Linked DNA regions of Notamacropus eugenii. The protein of the gene in region 2 interacts with the protein of the main gene of each other region in a pairwise test. Links are inferred from orthologs where the notes say so. Each region holds a gene or a part of one and is shown on either strand. Other genes may lie near its edges.

The links.
Region 1: the proteins of FAM114A1 (region 2) and RAB2A interact in binary tests that used the Homo sapiens proteins (3 or more experiments, as listed by UniProt). The two-hybrid records come from large-scale screens. The link is inferred for Notamacropus eugenii from reciprocal best matches to the Homo sapiens genes FAM114A1 and RAB2A.
Region 3: the proteins of FAM114A1 (region 2) and RAB2B interact in binary tests that used the Homo sapiens proteins (3 or more experiments, as listed by UniProt). The two-hybrid records come from large-scale screens. The link is inferred for Notamacropus eugenii from reciprocal best matches to the Homo sapiens genes FAM114A1 and RAB2B.

What each region holds. Positions count from the first base shown.
Region 1 is NC_092875.1:279,689,248-279,696,803, reverse strand, and holds the start of RAB2A (ras-related protein Rab-2A), read right to left. Parts: upstream 3,012-7,556; 5' UTR 2,600-3,011; coding exon 2,554-2,599; intron 1-2,553.
Region 2 is NC_092877.1:92,839,974-92,847,452, reverse strand, and holds the start of FAM114A1 (protein NOXP20), read right to left. Parts: upstream 3,095-7,479; 5' UTR 2,991-3,094; intron 314-2,990; exon of another isoform or gene 122-313; intron 1-121. UniProt on the Homo sapiens protein: May play a role in neuronal cell development.
Region 3 is NC_092878.1:12,451,897-12,459,057, reverse strand, and holds the start of RAB2B (ras-related protein Rab-2B), read right to left. Parts: upstream 3,001-7,161; 5' UTR 2,932-3,000; coding exon 2,886-2,931; intron 2,605-2,885; coding exon 2,533-2,604; intron 87-2,532; coding exon 19-86; intron 1-18. Other genes in the region: TOX4 (TOX high mobility group box family member 4), read left to right, coding at 3,344-3,349, 3,596-3,664. UniProt on the Homo sapiens protein: The small GTPases Rab are key regulators of intracellular membrane trafficking, from the formation of transport vesicles to their fusion with membranes. Rabs cycle between active GTP-bound and inactive GDP-bound states.

The DNA.
Region 1 (7,556 bases), on a different chromosome or scaffold from region 2:
ACAAAGTAATGATAGGAAAAAAGGGAAGCACTGGAGCCAATCAGGAAAAGGTCTCATTCAGAAAAGGTGGCATTTAGTGGCAGTTTGAAAAAAAACAAGGAATCCTAAGAGGTTACAGTGGGGAGAGAGAGTTCATTCCAGGCAGAGGCACCCACAGCCCATGCAAAGAAAGGCAAAGAAGTGAGATTGCAGAATCTTGGTGAACTGTAGGGTGCTCAAAAGGGAATAATGCACAAACAAGGTTCAAAAGGTCCGTAGGGCCAGGGTTGTGAAGGGCTTTAAAAGTCAAATATAGTTTAAGGTGACCACTGAGGTTTACTGATTCAAAGAGTGACACAATGAGACCTGTGCCTTATGAAAATCACATGACTTTAGTAGCTAAATGACCAAGAAAAAGGAAAACATTTTGGTGGGAATAAACAGGATGCTTGGGGGCTGCTTTGGATAAATTCCACCCACAACATCTAATGACAGATCCTTTTCTCCAAAGGCAACCACGTGGCCATCTCTCTTTACTGCCTTACTTTCATTACTTGGTTATCTAAAATATGTTATTTTCAAAGACTTCTCATATTCCCAGTTCCTATCCCTTTCCACTAGGACAGACTATCTTTGACTAACAGTCTAAGCTCCACCCCCTCTCATGCTCAGGTGTACCATAGCAAATTTAGAAATTTGTATGTATTACCAAATAAAAAGTCCAGGAAACTGAATTATCTAGCATACTATCTTGAAAACAATTTATTTCCCATATCCCTTAAGAACATGCGGATTCTACCAGTGTTTTAGTGTCTCTTGTCATTCAATTAAGGGATTTTTGTGAATGTACTATTAAGTACTGCCACATCTTTGGGGCAACTGCAAGAATATATCCAAAGTTGTGCAAGAGTCACCAATGAAATCAGACTCTTGTATATTAATAGTTGAAGTTGTGACACCAAGTTAACTAACACCTGAATGAGGCTGTTTTATTATTAGATTCAAAGCAGTATACCAAAACAAAAAGTATTAAGTGAACTGATTTCAGATACAATAAATCTAACATCCTGGGGTACAATTTTAAGAACATTTAAGTTTCTAGCTGCTTCAAAAGGAAGCCTGGTCTCCCATAAATTACCTCCTGGATTAACCCAAGAGAACCTAAGTTCCTTAAGGGTAGAAACTTTTTCTTTGGTAATACGACAACACCACCTTACAGAGAGTACGGACTTAGCAGTCAACAAACATATATTAAGCACCTATGTGTTAGGTATGAGGGATAAAAGGAAAGCAAAAACAAAAGACCTAGTTTCTGCTCTCCAGGAGCTCAGTCTAATCTACATACAAACAAAATCTTATGCAGAAAGAATTCATGCAAGACTATTAAGATGATCAGAAAAGACTTCCTGTAGGTGAGATTTTAAATGGAACTTGAAGCCAAGGGACAAAGACTAGAAGGGAGAGAATTCAAGCCAAGAGACAGCCAGTGAAAATACCTAGGGTCAGGAGATGAAGTGTTTTGTTCAAGGAGGCCAGTGTCACTAGACAGCAGAGTATGGGGGTGGGGGAGTAGAGAGTAAGGTGTAAGAAAACTAGAGAGGTAGGTGATCAGGCAGGTTAGGACGGGCTTTGAACAAGAGAGAGACGATTTTCTATTTGATCCTACCGGTGATAGGGAGCCAATGGAATTTTATGGAGTCGGTGAGTTAGGATTTAGCTTAGAAAGCTAAAACATGGTATATTTCCCAAATCCTAGTATTTCAATGTTACACATTAATAGGATTGATATGTAAAAACTTAAAAAAAAAACCCTACAACTGGCTTAATTACCTAAGATATGGTGTATTTCCTAAATCCTAGTATCCCTGTAACACATTAATAGGATTGATATACAAAAAGTAAAAACAAAACAGTTGTAGAACTGGCAATAGCAACTGTTTGCAGTAACTTGTCAGCAATCAGGAAAGATCTTCAGGATCCAGTTTGACACTCTGGTGACCTCACAAGGTTTTTTCCCAGGGTTCTAAGGCCAAAACCATTGTTGCCTTAAGCGAGATGTAAAAGGTTATCGCACTCCCTGTTCGGGGAGGCAAGCCCAAAGCCTTCCCGGCCTAGGAACTGCAGTAGCAGCCGGGACATCATCATTAAAGTCACGAAAGATGATTTCCAAGTAAAAAATACGCAAGCAGCCAACAGCCTCCCGGCCCGGCCCGGCCCCTCTACCTGCCCGCAGGCCGGGGGAGGGGCTGCGGGAGGGTGGGTGGGAGCTCCAGGCCTGGCCCAACCCTCCGCGGCAGCGGTCTCGGGGGGTCACACGTGGCCGTCCCGGAGCCCGAGGCCTGGAGCGGCTGGGCCCGGGCTGGGCGGGGGCCCGGCAGGCCAGGCCGCAGAGGCCGCTCGCAGTGCCCACGTCACCGGCTCCAGCACTGCGGAAATGGAGCCGCGGCGGGAGGAGGGGAAAGGGTGGAGGAGAGGCCGGAGGCGGGGGAGGGAAGCACCCGCCGCCAATCGCGCTCGGCCCCGCGGCACGGGGGGCTCCGGGGGCCGCAGCCCACCCGTCGCCGGGCGACTCACCTGTGTCGCCGATGATGATGTATTTGAAGAGATAGGCGTACGCCATGGCCGCGGCCGCTCCGTGCCCCCGGCACACGGCTCCTCCTCCGCCTCCTCCCCCGAGCCGCGGCTCCTCACCCCGGCCCTGATCAAGATCTCAGACGCCGGCGTGCCCGCCCAGAAGAGGAGCTCGGCGGCAGCGACGGCGCGGAGTCGGCAAGCCGAGGGAACCGAGAAAACGCCAACACGACGCCGGCAGAGGCGAGATGAGCCTCGCTGCCCAGCCCAGCCCCCTCCGACCTCGACCCGGAAGAGCAGCCGCTGAGCCGGCAGTCGGAGGAACGGAGGCGGATCGCCGGAGGATCGCCCTCCCCCGCCCGTTCCCCCGCCCGTTCCCCCGCCCCCTGCTACGGAGGGCGGGGCCCTGAGCGGAGCTGAAGGGAGGGAGTGGGTGCGGCCAAGCCCAGATTGGAAAGAACAGCGGGCGGAGGGGGAGGGGGCGGGGACTGGAGGAGGGGCGCGTCTCGCGCACGCGCACACCAGACGTGCCGGGCGGTTCGTGCTCCGAGGTGGGTGGGCGTTCCCTGCGCTCGTGGGGGGGAAAACCCAAAACCTACGTCTGAGACCTTTTCTGGTGATAGTTGGAGGAAACAAATGGTCATTTGGAAAACAGTTGAAAAATGTGAAAAAGAAATCCTTACCATCTCCAGAGCACCAGTTCCCTGACACTACCTGCCAGCTAGGCATCTTCATCCGGAGGTCCCTGAAGGCGCCTGTCAGGCTCTACGCTTGTCAATGGACAAGCGGTGTGATATTGCTACATGTTACCATGTGCCAGATCGGATGCCAAAGCTGGAATGTCCAAAAACTAGGCGTGGAGAAGAACCAGCCTTTGCCCTCAGGGGGCTTACATCCTAATGGGAGCCAGACAACAAATAAAAGGCAGCAGAAAGGGGAGGGAGAGATCAAGGGGAGGAAGGTCCAGGTAGCCAAGTTTGGGGAGAGGGCAGGGGGTAGCCAGAGGAGAAGGGAATACAGAGTTGTTCTTACCCAATCACAGGGAAGGGCCACAGAGGTAGAGGATATTTTCAGTGTGGGGATTCTGGGGTTGCCATGATCTTCCAGGAAAAGAGATTTCTGGAAAAGAATAGATTCTGGAATACTGACTGGTAAGAAATTAAGATATGGAAGATGCTTTGCAAACCTTAAAGCGCCATAGGAATGTTAGCTATTATTCTCTGAAAAGGAATCCTTTATCTTGTCAATCTTGTTCCTTTCTTTCAGTTTGTATTATTTCTCCTGGGGTCCACGCTGTTACCCAGGTTACTAACCTCAGAAGTATCCTTAATTGTGCCCATTCCCTTACCCTCCTCCACATTTCATCAGTTGCCAGGTCTTATTTATTCCACCTCTCCCATATTATACCCTACTTTCCACTGGTACAACTCCCACCCAACCGCCATTGTCAGATCCTCATTACTTCACAAATTGATTTCTAGGAGAGCACCCCAAAGACTAACCTGGCTTCTATATATAAAGTCAGGCTACCCACTTAAAGCCTATCACAATCTAGGTCCTATCTGCCTTTTCACTTCCTCTCATATAGTCTTCATTCCTAATACCTGTTCTTTAACCAGATCTGGGCATTCCATCTGTAGTCTGCCCTCTTATAGATTGCCCTTCATGCTTAGAATGAATTCACTTCCTAACTCTTATGTTCCCTTACTTCATTTGAGACTAAATATAGGTACCACCTTATATTGGAGCAAAATTTTACTCATCCCTTGTATATTCAAGTAATCTCTCCTTCCTGTGTACTTATATCTGTACATATTGTAATCTTAACTGAATAGAAATTCTGTAAGGGCAGTAACTGTTGATTTCTCTTTTTAATCCTCAATACCCTGCATATATGTCAAACTGAAATGGAGAGTCTTATAGATTTAAAATTGCCTTAGGAACATTAAAATGTGTTTTGTGTAACCTTGCTCACAAAATTAACATGTTTTGAGATATTAAAATTTAGTTCAGTCAGCAGAGACCAGTGGAATAGGTTAGGTACTCAAGACACAGTAGTCAATGAATACAGCAGTCTATTTTTTGATAAACCCAAGTACCCCAGCTTCTGGGATAAGAACTCATTGTTCAACAAAAATTGCTGGGAATACTGAGATAGGGCATAGACCAATGCCTGATGCTGTACACAAAAATAAAGTCCAAATGAGTACATGATCTAGGTATAAAGACTGACAGTATAAATAAATTAGTGGAGCAAGGAATAGTATATTTATCAAACTTATGGAGAAGGGAACAATTTTTGACTAAACAAGAGATAGAAAACATTATGAAGTGCAAAATGGATAATTTTGATTACATTAAATTGAAAAGTTCTTGCACAAACAAACCCAGTGCAGATAAGGAGGGAAGCAGAAAACTGGAAAAGAATTTTTGCAACTAGTATCTGTGATAAAGGCCTCATTTCTAAAATATATAGAGAACTGAGTCAAATGTACAAGAATATGTCATTCTCCAATTGATAAATGGTTGAAGAATATGAACAGGCAGTTTTCAGAAGAAGAAATTAAAGCTATCTATAGTCATATGAAAAAATGCTCTAAATCACTATTGATTAGAGAGATGCAAATCAAAACAACTCTGAGGTACCATATTACACCTATCAGGTTGGCTAACATGACAAAACAGGAAGATGATAAATGTTGGAGAAGATGTGGGAGAGTTGGAACACTAATTCGTTGTTGGTGGAGCTTTGAGCCCATCCAGCCATTCTGGAGAGCAATTTGGAACTATGCCCAAAGGGCTACAAAAATGTGCATACCCTTTGACTTAGCAATACCACTTCTAGGACTCTATCCCCAAGAGATCATGAAAATGGGAAAGGGTCCCACATGTACAAAAATATTTATAGCAGCTCTCTTTGTGGTAGCCAAAAATTGGAAATCAAGAAGATGCCCATCAATTGGGGAATGGCTGAATAAATTGTGGTATATGAATGTAATGGAATACTATTGTGCTATAAGAAATGATGAACAGGAAGACTTCAGAAAGGCCTGAAAGGACCTATATGAACTGATGTTGAGTGAAAGGAGCAGAACCAGGAGAACTTTGTACACAGCAACAACCACAGTGTGCAAGGAATTTTTCTAGTAGACTTAGTACCTCATTGCAATAAAAAGACTTAAAAAATTCCCAATGGACCCTTGAGGCAAAATACTTTCCAGATCCCAAGAAAGAACTATGGAATTGGATGGCAAAATGAAGCAATTTTCTTTTGTATTATGTTTTGTTTTGTTTAATGATTTCTCCCATTCATTTTAATTCTTCTATGCAACATGATTAAGATGAAAATGTATTTAATGGGAATATAAATATGAAATTGTATGTCAGATCAGGGAGGGAGTGGGAAAGGAGAGGGGAAGGAGGGGAAAAAATCTAAGATATATGGAAATGATTATAGAACATTGAAAACAAATAAAATAATTTAAATAAAAAATAGAAAAAAGTTTAGTTCATTCAAACAGTAATTACACATTAAGACAAGAACATAACTACTATGCCCTCTCAGACAGATATCTTTGTGATGGTAAATTAGGTCATCTTTTCTCTCAATTTTTATCTAGTCTTTAGTCATTGAAAATGCTTTGCCTCAGACAAACTGGGACCTGGGAAAGACCTTAATTTAGAAAGGCCAAGGTTACCCACCACATCTAGGGCCATGGTCAGTCATCTTGACTTTCATCTTGCTACTGAACTTCGTAACAGCAGGGACCCTAGCATACACAGGAAGGCCTGCTGCACAGGTTCTTAGGTCTGGTTTTCTAAAAGGAACGCAACTTTTGAGGGGTCAGCAATCAATTTTAATCAAACACATATATCATTCACTTAGGTAAGGGGGAAAAGTCAACACCCTGAAATTTAGAGAAAATACAAATAGAAATTACAAACAGAAAGACCAACAGGCAGGGCTTCCAACTGTCTGACCATAGACAATACATACATAGATATCAGACGGGGAAGCACCAATATCTGGGTTTTCAAAGCCAGGGGTCTCCTTAGTAGCTACCCAGAATCTCATCTGACACTCAAACCTTCTTCCAAAAAAATAACCCCAAAAGCAAAACCTCACCTCAGAGTTATATATATATATATATAACCTTTGCAGGACTGGAGGGCATGACCCTTGTGACCCAGTTCCTCAAAGGTATCTGAGGCCTATCAATGGGTGAGGAAGATCTTTAACTCTTCCCATCCACCCACCATTAACCTTACATTAACCTTATAGACTTCCATGACTCTGAGGGGAGAATTTTACTTAAAAGTAATTCACAGGAAAGTCAAGACATTACTTTGTTGATATCAATGATCATCTTCAAGAATGAAGAAAGAACAACTATTCCAGAGAGCAAATAAACAAGAGGGACCTTATTAAATTACCTTTTAATTCAATATAGTTTTACTCTTGAAAAGTTGCATCATACTGCTTATCTACAGTATTCATAAATAGCAATGTTTTTATTGCATAGTCTTTAGAAAATATTTTTGGAAACTAAAAGCATGAGTAACAGTAAATATCTCATAGCAAATATTTTGTGCATCCTTTAAAATTCATTATTTAAAATTTTTCAGGTTTTTTTTCCTCTCCAGCACTTTATTTCCTCTATCACTCTCTTACGTAGGTTCCCAAAGTGGGTGATACTGCCCCATGGGGGATGTTGGAATGATCCAGGGGGCCAAAGAAGCCTTGGGTGCAATTGGGGAGCATTGAACAAAAATAAGGGGGCAGTGGAAGCATAAGGAAAGAAGAAAAGATAAAATTTTATAATTTCTTGGTTTCTCATACAGTCATTAATTTCCATTTGCTCCATTCTAATTTTTAAAGAACTATTTTTTTCAGTGACCTTTTGAACCTTTTCTATTTGGCTAATTCTGCTTTTTAAAGCATTCTTCTCCTCATTGGCTTTTTACACCTCTTTGGCCATTTGAGTTTATTTTTAAAGGTGTTATTT
Region 2 (7,479 bases):
GAAACGCGGGTTCAAATCCCACATTTGGAACATAACTATTTCATAATTCTGGGCAAGTTACTTAACCTATCAGCCCTCTAGGCAAACTCTGTACCACCATAATTATAGACCAAGTGCCTACCTGTGATGGAGGAGGAAGTTGCCTTATCTAGGAGGTCTCTGTATCAATGAAATCACAGGTTCAGTCCTTATCCTTTATTTACTTCGTATATACTTAAGTATATGCAAATATTGTTTCCCTCAATTCAGCATCAACTCTTTGGAGGCAAGATTGTTTCATTTCTGACTTTGTATCTCTAGTACCTAGAACAGTCTGGAACATAGTAGGCAGTTAATAAACAGTTTTTGATTGATTTTAGGTAAAGAAATTGTTAGAGACACAGTATTGCATAGTGGATAGCGGGTCATTTTAGTGTCAAGAACACCTAAGTTCAAGTCTTGTGACTTATTGTGTCAGAAGTCACACTTATTGTGTGACTATGGCCACTTAAATTCTCAGGGACCTACCAAATTTTCTAAGACGGTAACTTACAGAATTGCCCCATTTCTACTCTGGGAGTTCCCTATACAGATGAAATAAAAGGTCTAGAGTCTAGAGATTCCACACTAAAAAAAAGTGGGAGGTGGTGGGTGGTGGCGGTGGTATTGGCGGTGGAGGAAGAAGAGGGGGAAGGGTTAAGACTAATTCTTTCACGTCTTTTTAATACAGATTGGTACCAAGGCCCTCAACTAGTATTAGCTAGTACTCCCCCAATTTTATCAGTGAAATTCCTAATTGTAGAACCAAATTTGCTACAGTAAGCAGCACACTAGAGTAAACGTAAGCAGTATACTTAAGCTAAAGTAAGCAATATACTAGGACCTGAAGAGGGGTAAGAGGAGAAGAAGCTACCTGATCCCTTCTCTCTCTCTGCCAGCTACATATATACTTCCCACAGGCAAGAAAGTACCAGTTCTAGGCAACTGATAATAACCTGTCAACCAATTTTTACTTTAGCCCTTCCCAGGACTAATGTAATGTGCACACACACTCACACACACACACACACACACACACACACACACTTTTTAAGGCTACATTAATTATGATTTAAAAAATACTGGCACTTTCAAAAGAATCACAGTTAAAATTTACCAAGGTATTTTTGATGACAGTGACTGCAGTAAAGCAACAAATGATACAGTGATGACCTTATAAGAAGGCAAACAGGAAAGCACCAATCTCTGCTCCACCTTTTAAATAATAACTTTCCTATTTGTTTCTTGATACTTGAAATTGTGCCATTAGAAATTCATTCCCTTGGCTTAAAATGTATGCCTTAGTACAGGGTTTCTTAATTTTTTTGTGTCATTGTACTTTTTTGGCATCTGGAGAAGCCGACAGAACCTTTCTCAGAGCTATTTTTTTAAATTTATATAATAAAATATATAAGACAACAAAGGAGACTAATTATATTGAAAGAGTCATAACTTTTTAAAAGTCTATAGGCCCCAGGTTAAGAACCCCTGCCTTAGTATGAGCAAATTTATCAGAACTTTTCCTAAGAGCAGGTATTAAAAGAAGAAAGGGAGTTGAGAGCACTTAGTGGAAGGTCACTGAAGGACAAGAACAGATGAAAAATAGCGGGATACAATGGAAAGTGCTAGATTTATAGTCAATGGACTTGGGTTCACATTCCCAATTCTGCCACTTACTACCTTTTGGAACCTTTGTCAAGTCACTTATGATTTCTGAGCCTCAATTTCCTTGTATGTACAAAATGAGATGGTTGGTCTTTATAATCTCTAAAGTCTGTTCCAGTCCTAAATCTACGAAGTAGGAAGGAAATACTGACAGTATATTTTTGACAACAAAGTTTGTCTAATCCACAATTTTGTCTAGGAGTAGCATAATATTCACATACATATACATCCATACTTATGTATATACACACAGACATATACGCACACCGTTTGCATCCCTCAGCATTACTGGTTGAGAATTCCCTGTTGGGGGAAAGAGACAGACCAGAAGAATATTCTCCACGGAAGACCCTCAGCAGTTTTCAGTATCCTCGAGAAGGGACAGAGTGGGAGTTGGCAGCAGGAAGGCCCTACCTGACCAAAACTTCCGGCAGAGAGGGACTTTCCAGTGAAAATAACTAGTTCCAAAGAAAGTCTTTCTCTAAGACATCCGGAAATACTCATCGGATCCCAGAGCAAATTTGATGGGGAGATGCAGACTACAAGGCGAGGGACAGCAAGCAGACAAAAGACCCCAGCTCTGATCACTCGAGCCCGAACCTGGCCCGCAGCCCAGCCCACTCAACCTTTCCTCCCACCTCTTCTCCTCTCCTCCTTTCCTCTGCTTCAGCAATGAAGGTCTCTCTGACTCTACGAGCACCTGTTTCTCGTCTGCGCGCTAGAAGCAGGGAACTTTGTCAAACTCTGCTCCAATGGAGAGTCTGGAATGGCGCGGTCCAGAGAGGCTGGGATGGGCACTGCAGACTAGTGGGCAAAGGAGATCCGGGGCGCGTGCTTCTGCCTGGGTATTCACCCACAAAACTCCCGCTCCCGAGAGGGTGTGGAGCTGAAAGAAATGCGCCTCTGCCATCACCTTTGCCCCAGTCTTCCCTTCTTTAATTATCCTCTGTCCAAAGTCTGAGCCTCGACACTGGGAGCATCCCCGTCCTTGCCCAGGTACCCTAGCTGCCCGGCTAGGCACAGAGGGGTGAGAGCAGCGCAGCGACAATCTCCCTGCCCTTGATGCCATGCCAATGGCATGTAAGACATGGCAAAGGATCGTGCCCGGTTCGGCGCCAGAGCCTCTGTTGACACTGACCAGATAGCCCACCCCCTGGCCCTCCTGCTGTGCCCAGCCCCGGGGCGCCTGGGACGAGGCACCAAAGCTCCTGCAAAGGCCCTGGAGCGTTGGGACGAGTGACCTCCTCGCGGGGGCCGAGAGAAAGAAAAGAGAGAAAGGAAATAAAAGGGAGCTTTGGGCTCCTTACCGCTCGAGCCGGCAGAGCTGGTCCCCCGAGCGCCCCCTGGCCCTTCCCCGCTCCGCCACGTCGGCAGGGCCAGGGAGAAGCTGGGAGGACCCGGAGGGGGCGGGGCAGGGGTGGGGCCGCGGACGGTCTGGGTCTGGATGGGGCAGCCGGCCCCACCTCCCATCCCCAAGGCTTCGGTGAGAACCCTGCCCGGCCGGCGGGCCGGGGAAGCCCTAAGGAGTGGGCAAGGCAGTCAGAGGCCGGCGGGTACAAGCCCTTCCCAACCCTTCGGGAGAAGCCTTCCGCCGCTGTCCAACAGCCCTACAGCCCTCCTGTCACTCCTGGGAGGTTTGTTAGAACCCTAGGAAGGACTGTCCCCTCTCTGCACCCCCAGTCCCCCAGGAGATCCAGGAGGAATCCTTCAGGCGGAAGATGCGGTTCTTTCTCCTCCTCCTCCTCTTCCTCCTTCTCCTTCTTCCTCCCAGGGAGAACTTTCAGGCCATTTTCTACCTAAGGAAATTCTGGCCTTAAACTGAAGGAGGTCAAACCAGCTCGGTAATGACAGAACCTCACTCAGCCCTCCTGCTCAGTATTCTTTCCGTTATATCATGTCCCCAATTGGAAAATTTGCCTGCTAAGCTCCGTTACTATTAGTTATCTTTTCTCTGGGTTCGCTTCTTCCTTTTCTTGTATAAAAAATACTGATAATTTTTAAATGGCCAGCTAGATAGAGCACAGAAAAATTTCACTGGATGTTAGGAAATACCCCACTTTGTTGTTATGCCTGATTTTAATTGGGAACTGTCCCTTCAGAGCAGGAAAATACTGTATTTTAGTCCATGGACTTAAATCTTAGGAAACAAAAGTGAAATTGTATACGTTAGAACCTCTTTGCGGTTGTAGAAAAGTAATAAGGATAACATGTTTTTTGTTAAATTCTGTTTATACTTAGAGGAATATCCTTCAATCTGGCGCAGATATGGAGGTGTAAGCAAGTCCAGGTCTTCAGAGTGTAATGTTCTAAAGCAATGGATTGTTTTTGGGAGAATATAAACTCCTTGAGAGGGTGAACTATTTAGTTTTTGTCTTTGTGATCTGAGCACCTAGTACTGTGTAAGGGTTTGATAATTGCTTTATGAATTTTTAATTGATTTTGATATGTGACATCTTGAAGATTCAATATTTTATGTTCATACCTGTCGCCTACTAAGTGCATACATACATACTCAGTATGCATGCATACATACGTATATTTGTGTGTGTGTGTGCGTGCGCGCGTGTGTGTATACCATAGTAACAGCTACATTTATTATTGGTTCAGGGTGGTCTCATGGGTACCATAAGGGTATTACCAAGAATAATTGTTTTTTATTGAGGATTCAGAATCCTCTCAAATTTATTGCTAATTGTAAATTAGCTCCTTTTAATCAGAAAAGGAGTTGGAATAAGAGTGACCCACCCCTTTGTCTTTGGGATTGGTCTACTTGGTGCTCTTCAAGAATGAAGGACAAACCACAACTTGATCTTAGTCTGGGTGAACTCTCCCTATCTATTGATTACTGGGTCTATGAGGTTGAGAATCAGTGGTTTTCTAGACTGTACTCCTAAAAGAATCAGCTCATGATGGAATCTGAACTGTTTCCCCGCTAAGATATGATGTTTCTCCTCTTTCCACACTGTGCACAGCCTCGGATTGTGTATTTTGCTATTTTCACCCAAACTTTGATTCTATCCCTCTAGCATGCAGTGATATCAGAGGGAAACAATCTGTTTGGAAAGATAGTAAAGAATAAAAGCCATCAAAACAAACTTTTGCGTCCATATTTTTTCTTTATTATGCCTTTAAATGGTAAAAATCTCATTTAATTCAGAATTACACTATTTTAGTAATTGCTATTTTAGTAAAAAACCACAAAAGTGTTATACCCTTATTCCTTTATGGGAGTTTTAGTTGGTAGTGATTTTTTTTTTCGTATACAGCAATCTTCCTTCTGTAGGGTTAGCTTTTATTTTTCTTTTTAAGAAAAGTCCAGTATCTCAAGAAATCTCAAGAAGTTAAAATATATAGCACTTTCTCAAATAGGTTTACTTTGCCCTACAGATGCTAGCCTCTCTTAAGTCAGTCCTGATATGCTATGAGAACTGCTAAAAAGGCCAAACTGTGTTTCTTGCTGCCACCTGCAGAGAACTGAGAAGGCTCTTACATTTTTATGAGTAAGAATGAATGAGAGGAAGAAGCTAAGCCTTGGTCCTCCTAATAAATGCATAAGTGATGAAGCCCAGCTGCAGGGTACTATGTGTGTTTTTTCATTAGTGACCTTAGGAAAAAATCATTTAAAATTTTGTGTTTCCATAAAATTAGGAAAATACTGATTCGTAAGATTGATTATTGAATGGTCTCTCAATTAAAATATAAAGTCCTATGTGCAGTAAAATTTTAATCGGAATGCTTACAGTATTTTGTTTAATTCACTTTTCTTTTGATTTTGACCTTTGTTCATTTGAAATTCAACAAACATTTTTAATGTCCTACTGTGTGCAAAGGCTCTCCTAAATTGGATGTAGTTCCTATTGCTTAGTAGGGAAGATAAGATGCATGTAATTTATTATAACACAAAATTATGGGTGGTACAAAATGCCATGTGAGATTATTATTGCTGTTGTGTTTGTCCTTCGTTTTGGAAGAGGACCACGACATCAGAGAAATGATGACATGACTTGCACTTGACTTTGTTTGGAGTGAGGCAGGGCTGTGCAGGTCACCAGCCTCACTTCTCCTCCAGAGCCATCTGGATCCAGTGACCAGATATTCATCAGATGCCTGGAGATGACCCAGGATGCAACGGGACACCCTGACCCTTTTAGCCTAAGACCTTTTCAGGTACTCACAGTGAGGTAATGCCCATTATATGAACAGACCTCTTTAAGAAGTAGTCAAGGCATGGTCCCTTTCATTAGGAAAAAAATCAAGCTGGGAGGGCAAGACCTGAGAGTTACTGTTCCAAACAGAAACAACTACCATTGATATTCACTCTAAGCCAAGAGGGTCCAAAAAACATCCGTTAAGTGGAGCTTCTGCAGGGATCTCTTGTGGTCCAATCTATGGGCTTCAGAGTGAACTGGGAGAAAGAAAGAGAGAGAGAGAAGAAAAGAAAGAAGGCAGGAAAGAGAGAGAAAGAAGTAAAGAGAAAAAGTAAAGAAGGAAAGAAAAAAGTAAAGAAGGAAAGGAAGGAAGAAAGGAAGGAAGAAAGGAAGGAAAGCAAGAAAGCAAGAAAGAAAGCAAGAAAGAAAGAAAGAAAGAAAGAAAGAAAGAAAGAAAGAAAGAAAGAAAGAAAGAAAGAAAGAAAGAGAAAGAAAGAAAGAAAGGAAGGAAGGAAGGAAGGAAGGAAGGAAGGAAGGAAGGAAGGAAGGAAGAAAGAAAGAAAGGAAGGAAGGAAGGAAGGAAGGAAGGAAGGAAGGAAGGAAGGAAGGAAGGAAGGAAGGAAGGAAGGAAGAAAGAAAGAGGGAGGGAGGGAGGAAGGGAGGAAGGAAGAAAGAAGAAAGGAAGGAAGGAAGGAAAGAAGGAAGGAAGGAAGGAAGGAAGGAAGGAAGGAAGGAAGGAAGGAAGGAAGGAAGGAAGGAAGGAAGAAAGGAAGGAAGGAAGAAAGAAAGCTGGATAGAAATCTAGCCAGTAAACCCCAAGCTAACTGGGCAGCTTCTGGGCAACAAAATTTGCTTTCCTTTGGAGAGGAGAACGAAAGGGAGAGGGAGAGGACAAACTGAGGAGCTGAGTTACTCAGTTTACTGGGTCCCCATTCAGGCAGCTCATTCTACTCAGGTTGTGTTTGTCCTTTGTTTTCGAAGAGGACCATGACAGCTCCGTGTGAGATCATAGGGAGAATCATGGAAGGCTTCATGTAGGAGGTACCATTTGACTCAGGCTTTAAGGTGTGGGAAGGACTTCAAAGGGTAGAAAATGGTTGGGTACTCAAGATGCAGGGAATAGTGTGAACAAAGGCATGGTGGATGGGAAAGCATCGAGCATTTAGTGGAAGTAAAGTCTAATTTGTCAGAAATGAAGTATATGGAGGGAAAGAGTATGAGCTAAAACTGGGAAGTCCAAGTGCCACTAGGTTGTGGACTCAGGCTAAAGAGTCTAATGTTTATTTAGGAGGCAGTCTGGAGCCAATCAAGGATTTCCAGCAGAAGAATTACGTGATTAAATCTCTGAATGAGAAAGAAATGTGGCAGTAAAACAAAGAGTAAAAATCTTTTCAGACTGTGTTAATATTGAAAAGAACTGATCCTCTCTTGAATGATTCAGGATTTTGCAATGTCTCTAGCCATCATTCTGAACTGGTTGTATAGTACTGTAAATTAAGTGCAGAAGGGCTAGGCTATAAGGATAAATATGCACAGATCTTTGGAGAAATCCTGCAAGATACTTTTTAAAGAACACTATCTTATATGTCTCCATCTCCTCAAATGGGACATAGGGAAAAAAAATTCTAGTTAATTAAAGGTTCCAGTA
Region 3 (7,161 bases), on a different chromosome or scaffold from region 2:
TCTTCTGTTCTCTCTCACCGTGTCCCAGATTTGCAGTTTGATTTGTTTGCCATCAATGTTGACCATACGGGCCCCAAACTCCACACCTGTCGATGAAGAACACAGAATATAACGATGCCATCAATGACTGTCATGTTCAATGACGAGTCAAGGTTCTGGCCCCCATGTTTCAGGTTCCACTTCCTGTGTCTGCTCCAAGCGTAGCCATCCTCCTGGCAGTTGTCTAAACACTTGCTCCATTGCATCTCAGGGTCTATCATTCTTTTTCCTCACCTGGATTTATGTAACTATGCTTCTGCTAATAATCACCTCAAGGTAAAAGTAGCAAGTCAATGTGGAAATTGGCTAGTTTCTTAAACTTGGTTGCATTTTGCACCATTTAACTAATTTGGATGGTTTTTGTGGGGGGGAGGGGTATTGTGATTTTATCAGAGAACTACTGATATAGAAACTCTCCCACTTATGCAGACTGACAATTTGCCTGTACCATAGCCAGGTAAATTTTAAGAGGGTTTCCTGGGGAACCTGCTCATGGTCACATAGTTAGCTAGCATGTATCAGAATTAGGACTTGAAACCCACCCTTCTAAGCTCCAAGGCTAGCTCTTTATCCACTATGCCACGCTGCTTCTCAAATGTTGACCATTGTAAAAATAAGTTGTAATAAACTTTATAGCTTCTTTTTAAAATATAAGTTGCAAGGTTTAAAATCTTCAATACTAACTTTCCCTGATGTACTCATTCTCTAGTCTTCTTTATGGAACCATAATTATTTATTATAAAGAGGGAAATATGCATTTATTAATTGCATATTATACTCCAGGAACTTTACAAATATTATCTCATTTGATCCTCACAATGATCCTACTATTATTATCCTCATTTTACAGTTGAGGAAACTGAGGCAGAGGTTAAGTGATTTGCTCAGGGTCACACAACTAGTAAGTGTCTGAGGCTTGACTTGAACTCAAGTCTTCCTGACCTCAGGACCAGCATTCTACCAATGTCACCACCTATTACAACCCTAGGATCTATTTGAAAGACATAATATAGTGCATCTTCCCAAGTAATATAGTTTCTTAAGAACTAAAATGCCTAGGATGAGTAAGTTTCTGCATTAGGAACTTACATTCCCTTATTAGACTGTTAATGCCAGGTCTGAGCCAGAAAACAAAAGGTACTGCTATTAAACATATTTGATAACAAAATATGTATTGTCTCCTCCTTTCACTCTAAACTTTGTCATTTCATATAGCATGGAGGCAAAAATTTTAAGGAAAAAGTAGTTTTATCTTAGCTAGCAGTAAAATACTGACTTAGCCAATAGTACTTTTGATGGTGTTCATAATTAAGTTAAGAAGTCTCAAGGAGGGCTAGTTGTAGTCAATGAGGCCACAAGAATTGATTCTGGTTGAAAGCAAACTAATCTCCAAATTCCTTCATCCAGAATATAGTAACTTTTCTTGAAAAAAATTTTCTTTATTTCTCGGATAGTCACAGAACAATTTCAGTAGGCATAAGGATAAGAAAATGTCTATCCTCACTTGCACTTTTCCATAAACATGATCTTAAAGACACTTGGGCTCCTGTGCACAACTACTTGTCCAACTTCTTTGTGTGATGGCAAAAGGCCAGAAGGAACATAAATTCCATGCCAGAATTTGGACAAAATGCTAATTTCCCTGGTGCTACAAAATCCCTGTCTTTTTTTATGAACCCCATATGTCTGGTGACTTCTTGATCAAGCAGGTTTTCTAAGAGAAAATGCTTCTCAGAACTGCTAGTTACATTCCTAGAAACTTTTGCTTCTTTCCTCTTATGCACAGGCTTTTCTCCATATGATGGAAGCTAAAAATTTTACCTCTCTTTTATTACTGTAATGAAGCTGTTACCGTACCATAATTTTTCTTATCACTAGCCATATATACTTAATCTCTTTGTTCCTTCTCTGCCACTACCAGTAACAATTTTTCTCTTAAACCCCTGCAAAAAGGCATTGCATCTGAAAATGACAAATATTGCCACTCGGGAATTCACTAAGCTCTTTCACAACTCACAAACCAACCAATCAATTTTTCTCTTGTCGTTACAACATATTAAAGCTGGAAGGATACTCCTTTTATTTTACAGATGAGGATACTGAAGCTTACGGAGAAGCAAGCTGCCCGAGGTCACCCAGACTGCAGCTACTCTTTGGTTTCTTTGTCAGTTATTTTTATTGTCTCCAACTTGACAATCACTTGACAGCACTCTTTCACAGACTCACAGAATTCAAAGCTGGAAGGGCTCTTAGTTACTGCTCTGATTTTATGGAGGGAGACCCTGAGCTCTAGAGACATGAAATGACTTTCCTAAGCTAGTCAAATCTATTTACCCCCAATTCATGCTCTTTCCATGAGACGAATCTGCCTTCGCCATTTTCTCTCCATTTATTAACACAACTTTTGGCTACTTAAAAGTGGAAGCCCATGGCTGCTAACTTTTAACTTCACACTTCTCACCCACTTTCCTTAGGGTGGCACAAAGTCCTTACCTATGGTGAGGTCGTGGACAGGCTGGAACCGCTTGTCTGTAAACTGCAGAAGGAGACATGACTTGCCCACACCTGAAAGAGGACGTGGGGACTCAGGTCCATCCTCCCGAGAGAGGAGGTGGGCAGGGCAGCCCAGAGGAAGGCACCAGGTGTGGCTGGCGTCGGCTCCCCCCGTGTCGCAAAGGGGCCAGAGCTCCTTCAGCCCCGCCCCGCCCCGCCCCCATCCTGGCCCCGCCCCCGACAGCGCCCCTCCGGGTGGCCCCGCCTCCCCAACGAGCCCCGCCCTCCCCTGGTGCCACCTTGGGCTTGCGAGCCCAGTCTCAGTTTAGCGGATGGCCCCGCTGGCCGAGTACCTGTGTCCCCGATGATGATGTACTTGAAGAGATAAGCGTAAGTCATGGTCCCGACCGCTGGTCCTCCCGACTTCTCTGGCCACCCACCTCCGGCCTCTCTAGCCACGCGACCTAGCGATATCTCTACTTCCCCATCCGGTCCCTCTAGCCCGAGATCACGTCTCTAGTGCTCTCCTCAGGAGCAGTTCAGTCGTCATGTGTGGCTGTAACTTGACACTTCCTCCCTCGAAGCCTCTGAGCCTCCAGCGGGCATTCTGGCCTCCGGCCGAAGGGGGCGCTGCCCAGCTCCTCATTTCCGCTCAGTCGCCTCCCTGCTGCAAACTCACCGCTTCTGCCAAAGAATCCTCCAATCCTCGGAGGGAGCCGCGAGTGTCGGCGGAAGTGACGCGTGTTCCGTTTCCGGCGGGGGCGGTGGGCGCTATGAGGGAGCTGAAGCGGTGGTAGCGGTTGTGTTGAAGATGGAGGTAGGATCCTGAGCCCGAAGGAGGCGGGAGGGAGAGAGAGAGAGAGAGAGAGAGAGAAAGAAAGAAAGAAAAGAGGCGAGAGGGAGAGGAGCAGAGGAAGGGGCCTGGGCGGAGAAGCGGCCGACGGGCGAGAGGAGCGGGGGAGGCGGCGGCGGGGGTCGGGGCAGAGTCAGAACCCGTCGCTCCAGCCTGACTCCCCGGCCCCCCCCACCCCTAACATCCCCGCGGGTTTCTTTTGGTTTCCAGTTTCCCGGAGGAAATGACAATTACCTGACGATCACAGGGTCCTCGCACCCCTTCCTGTCGGGGGCCGAGGTGAGCAAGATTGTTGCCAACGCGGGTGGAAGGGCGCCAGGCCCTTGGGGGCGGCGGGGGGGACCCGGGGCTGGGGAAGCGCTCTCGGACAGCCCAGCGCAGCCTAGAAGGGCGGGCCGAGGAGGAGGAAAGGCCGCAGGAGGGTCTCGAGTGGAAGGAAGAAGTGAGAGAGGCCCGAGAGGTTTTGCGGGAGGCAGTTGGAGCCACCGGACGACGCAGCCTCAGGGTGGAGGTTTTGTGGAAGAGCTGAGGTGGAAAGTGTAGTCGGAGCGGCTGGACCTGGCTTGGTTTTGTGGGGGGAGGGTGTTGTGACTGTAAGAAGCAGCGTGGTTTAGTCTCCACGTCCATACAAGCCTGAAGGGCCTGTTCAGAGCCGGTCCGTTTGTGCTGGGGCGCACTGCCTTTCCCTCCAGGTGATGAGAGTGTATTTTGTGAAGCAGAAGGGATGGCTGTGAAGAGTCTTAAGGTTCTTAACTTGAATCGTGGATCACGTGCTCCTGCCACTATCTTGGGAAGCAGACTTGGGTATCTCAGAAGACAGAAAGCCTTTCTTGGGTTTTTTTATTTTTTACTATTTTTAATGGAAGACCCAGTCTTTTTTTTAATGCAGCAAACATCCCAGGCCATCCTACCTGTTCTGCTGAGTTTGCTATCAATGAATGAGTTATTCTGCTTATCTGCAGTTGCTTCTTTTAACTCTTAGCCTTAGCGTTAGGTTGGGAAACTGGGCAGCTGCTTGTTAGATTTCAGCTCTTCTATTGACTTCTGTTTCTACTGAGATTCCCTATAAATCTTCAGCCTTAGCTACCCAGCCTAAATGGAAGACCTTTTAAGATCATGATGCTAAATGACCGATTCTTCTGGCTTCAGGGAAGCCAAAAACCAGACCTTTAACACGTTTAGATTGGTTCTTTGTGAATTCCAATGTGTTTTCTCATCTTCAGCTTCTCCTTGACTCATGCTTTTAGCGTCATTAAATTGTTTGGAATGTTGTGAACTCCAGAGTATTATCCTCATCCGTATTTAGATACTGCAATACTTCGAAATCCCATAATTTTATTTATGGGAATGTGCCAACCATGTGGCCCATAAGCTCTCTATTGCTTAGTACATGGCTTACTGAATTACTGTGGCTAAAAAAATTAATCATCTATTGGCCAATCATCTGGTGAGTATGAGACTATTTTATATTAGCTGGATTGGTCCTTAGACAAGTCAAACTCTTTGCATTTTTAGTGAGACCATTTGGAACTTGTTCCTTTTAAAGCCAAGATCACCCCCATTCTACAGTGAGACTTCAAAGTAGGATACTAGATGGAGGAGCCCTAATTTGTCCAGAGTTTTGAGTTCATCTGTGTAGAAGCTCCTGATTTGGACCTTCCTTCCATTGATACAGATAGGCAACCCATCCTTGGACATTAAAAGGTTAAGTGACTTGTCCATGATTATGTGGCTAGTATTTATTAAATGGGGTTACAAAAGTGGCATTCTAACCCCAGATATAAATGACTTAGATTATTCGCTATTTTAGATTCTGTTCCTTCTATTTTCTTGGATAATCAAGAATCACATCTGTCTGTCAATAATCAATAAACAAGTACCGCTACTACTAATGATGATGAACATTACTAGGATGCTTTAAAGTTTGCAAAGCACTTTAAGTATATTGTGATTTAATCTTCACAATGATCCTGTGAGGTAGATGGCTATTATCTCCATGTTATAGATTAAGAAACTTTGGTAGAGAGAGGTTGAGTGACTTGTTAAGCGACTGAGTCAGGATTTGAACTTAGATCTTCTTTGACTCCAAGTCAGAGTCTGTTCATTTGATATAATTAAGTCTAACCATTATACTACCATGTATCAGTCACTATACTAAGTACTAGAGATATATACTAAAAGAAAATTGTCCCTGCCCTCAAGGAACTTCATTCTAACAAATATATGTGGTTCCCTTCTTATTTATAATCAAGTGCTTGGAAAGCTGGAAAGTGCTATAGAAATAAATGTTAGCTATTATTATAATGTTATATAAAGAATGTTGTAGATTTAGGGCCATTCTACAGTTTTTTGACCCCTCTAGAGGCAGCTAGGTGGTACAGTGGCTGTCAGAAAGACCTTAATTCAAATCTGGCTTCAGCTAGCTTTGTAACTAGCTTTGTAACTCTAGGCAAGTCACTTACCGTCTGCCTCAGTTTCCTCAACTGTAAAATGGGGATGATATCACCACTTTACCTTTTAGGGTTGTTAGGAGGATCAAATGAGATAATGTCGGCTCTATTAGAAAGGTGCTTATTCCTTTCCCTTCTCCTGCTTGGGGGAAAAAAGACAATATACTCCTTTGGGAGAAAAGCAGTCATTTTTGGTGATGTTAGAACCTTGTCTGCAATATGTATTACCCACCCCAGAAAGCCTTACCATTTGTCATTGCACAGATTGATCATCACTATAAGCTTGTAGCTAGAAAAGCTGTTAGATGTGTAGCATATGGACCACACATTTTGTGGGGGGTTTGGTTATTTTTTTTTTAATATTGAAAGTACACTGTCTCCCATTTTAGAAGCAATCAATATTCTAGAACATAGTTTCACTGAATGATTATCAGGAGTAGTTAATAGTTTTTATCTATACAAATAAGATGCCACTGTAAGGAAGGACTCTGTTGTGTTTTAAATTGTTTCTGTGTCCTGATGGATTTACCATAATAATAGTGCTTTTTTTTAATCATGTTAGTGCACATTTCCAGTGAAAGAAAATAATTTTGATGTCCTGTATTCATTATAATTCGATTTTACTTTTTACTCTGCTGATCTTTAATAGTAATAATGGAAGATTAGAGTGAATCTCTCCATTTGTTATGGTATGTAGTTGACTTTTTTATGTTCTTTTATTTTTACGACTAATTTCCCTTCATATCGGTAAAATCTGATTACATCAAATGCACGTGTGGTCGGTCTTTATGGTGCTTCTTTGTGGTCTAAGGACTACTCACTTGTCCTGATGTTTATGATAAAGCAAAAAACCCCAAGTACTAAACTTTCATTTAGTTATGTTTCTCTTAAAAATTAAATTATATTTGTCATGGTTTTTTTTTTTTTCTATTACTTGTTGTCTATTTCTTGGTGACCTTTTGGGTCAGATTCTTTTCTTCCCTAGCTAAAGTTCTCAGAAGACTGAAAAAATTTGAAAACTGTTTCTACATTGTAATATATGTATTATTCTGGCCTCCATTAATGTATTCGCCTCTCTTTATGAGCATGTAGCTATATATTGAAGGAAGCTAAGTTCTTCAGAGTAATTTGGGGCCACTAAGAAGAAGCATTTTCCTTTGTTGCAAGGTGTTGAGGTTTGGGGATAGGAACTGGAAATTGCAGTAATTTTTTTTCTAAAGGCAGAAGACAGAACTTAACTAAAGAAGCAGTTACACTTCACTTTTCTGTACTCTCCACCTCAGATATCATAGGAACTCCTACCAGAAAAAAACAGAAATTTCCATA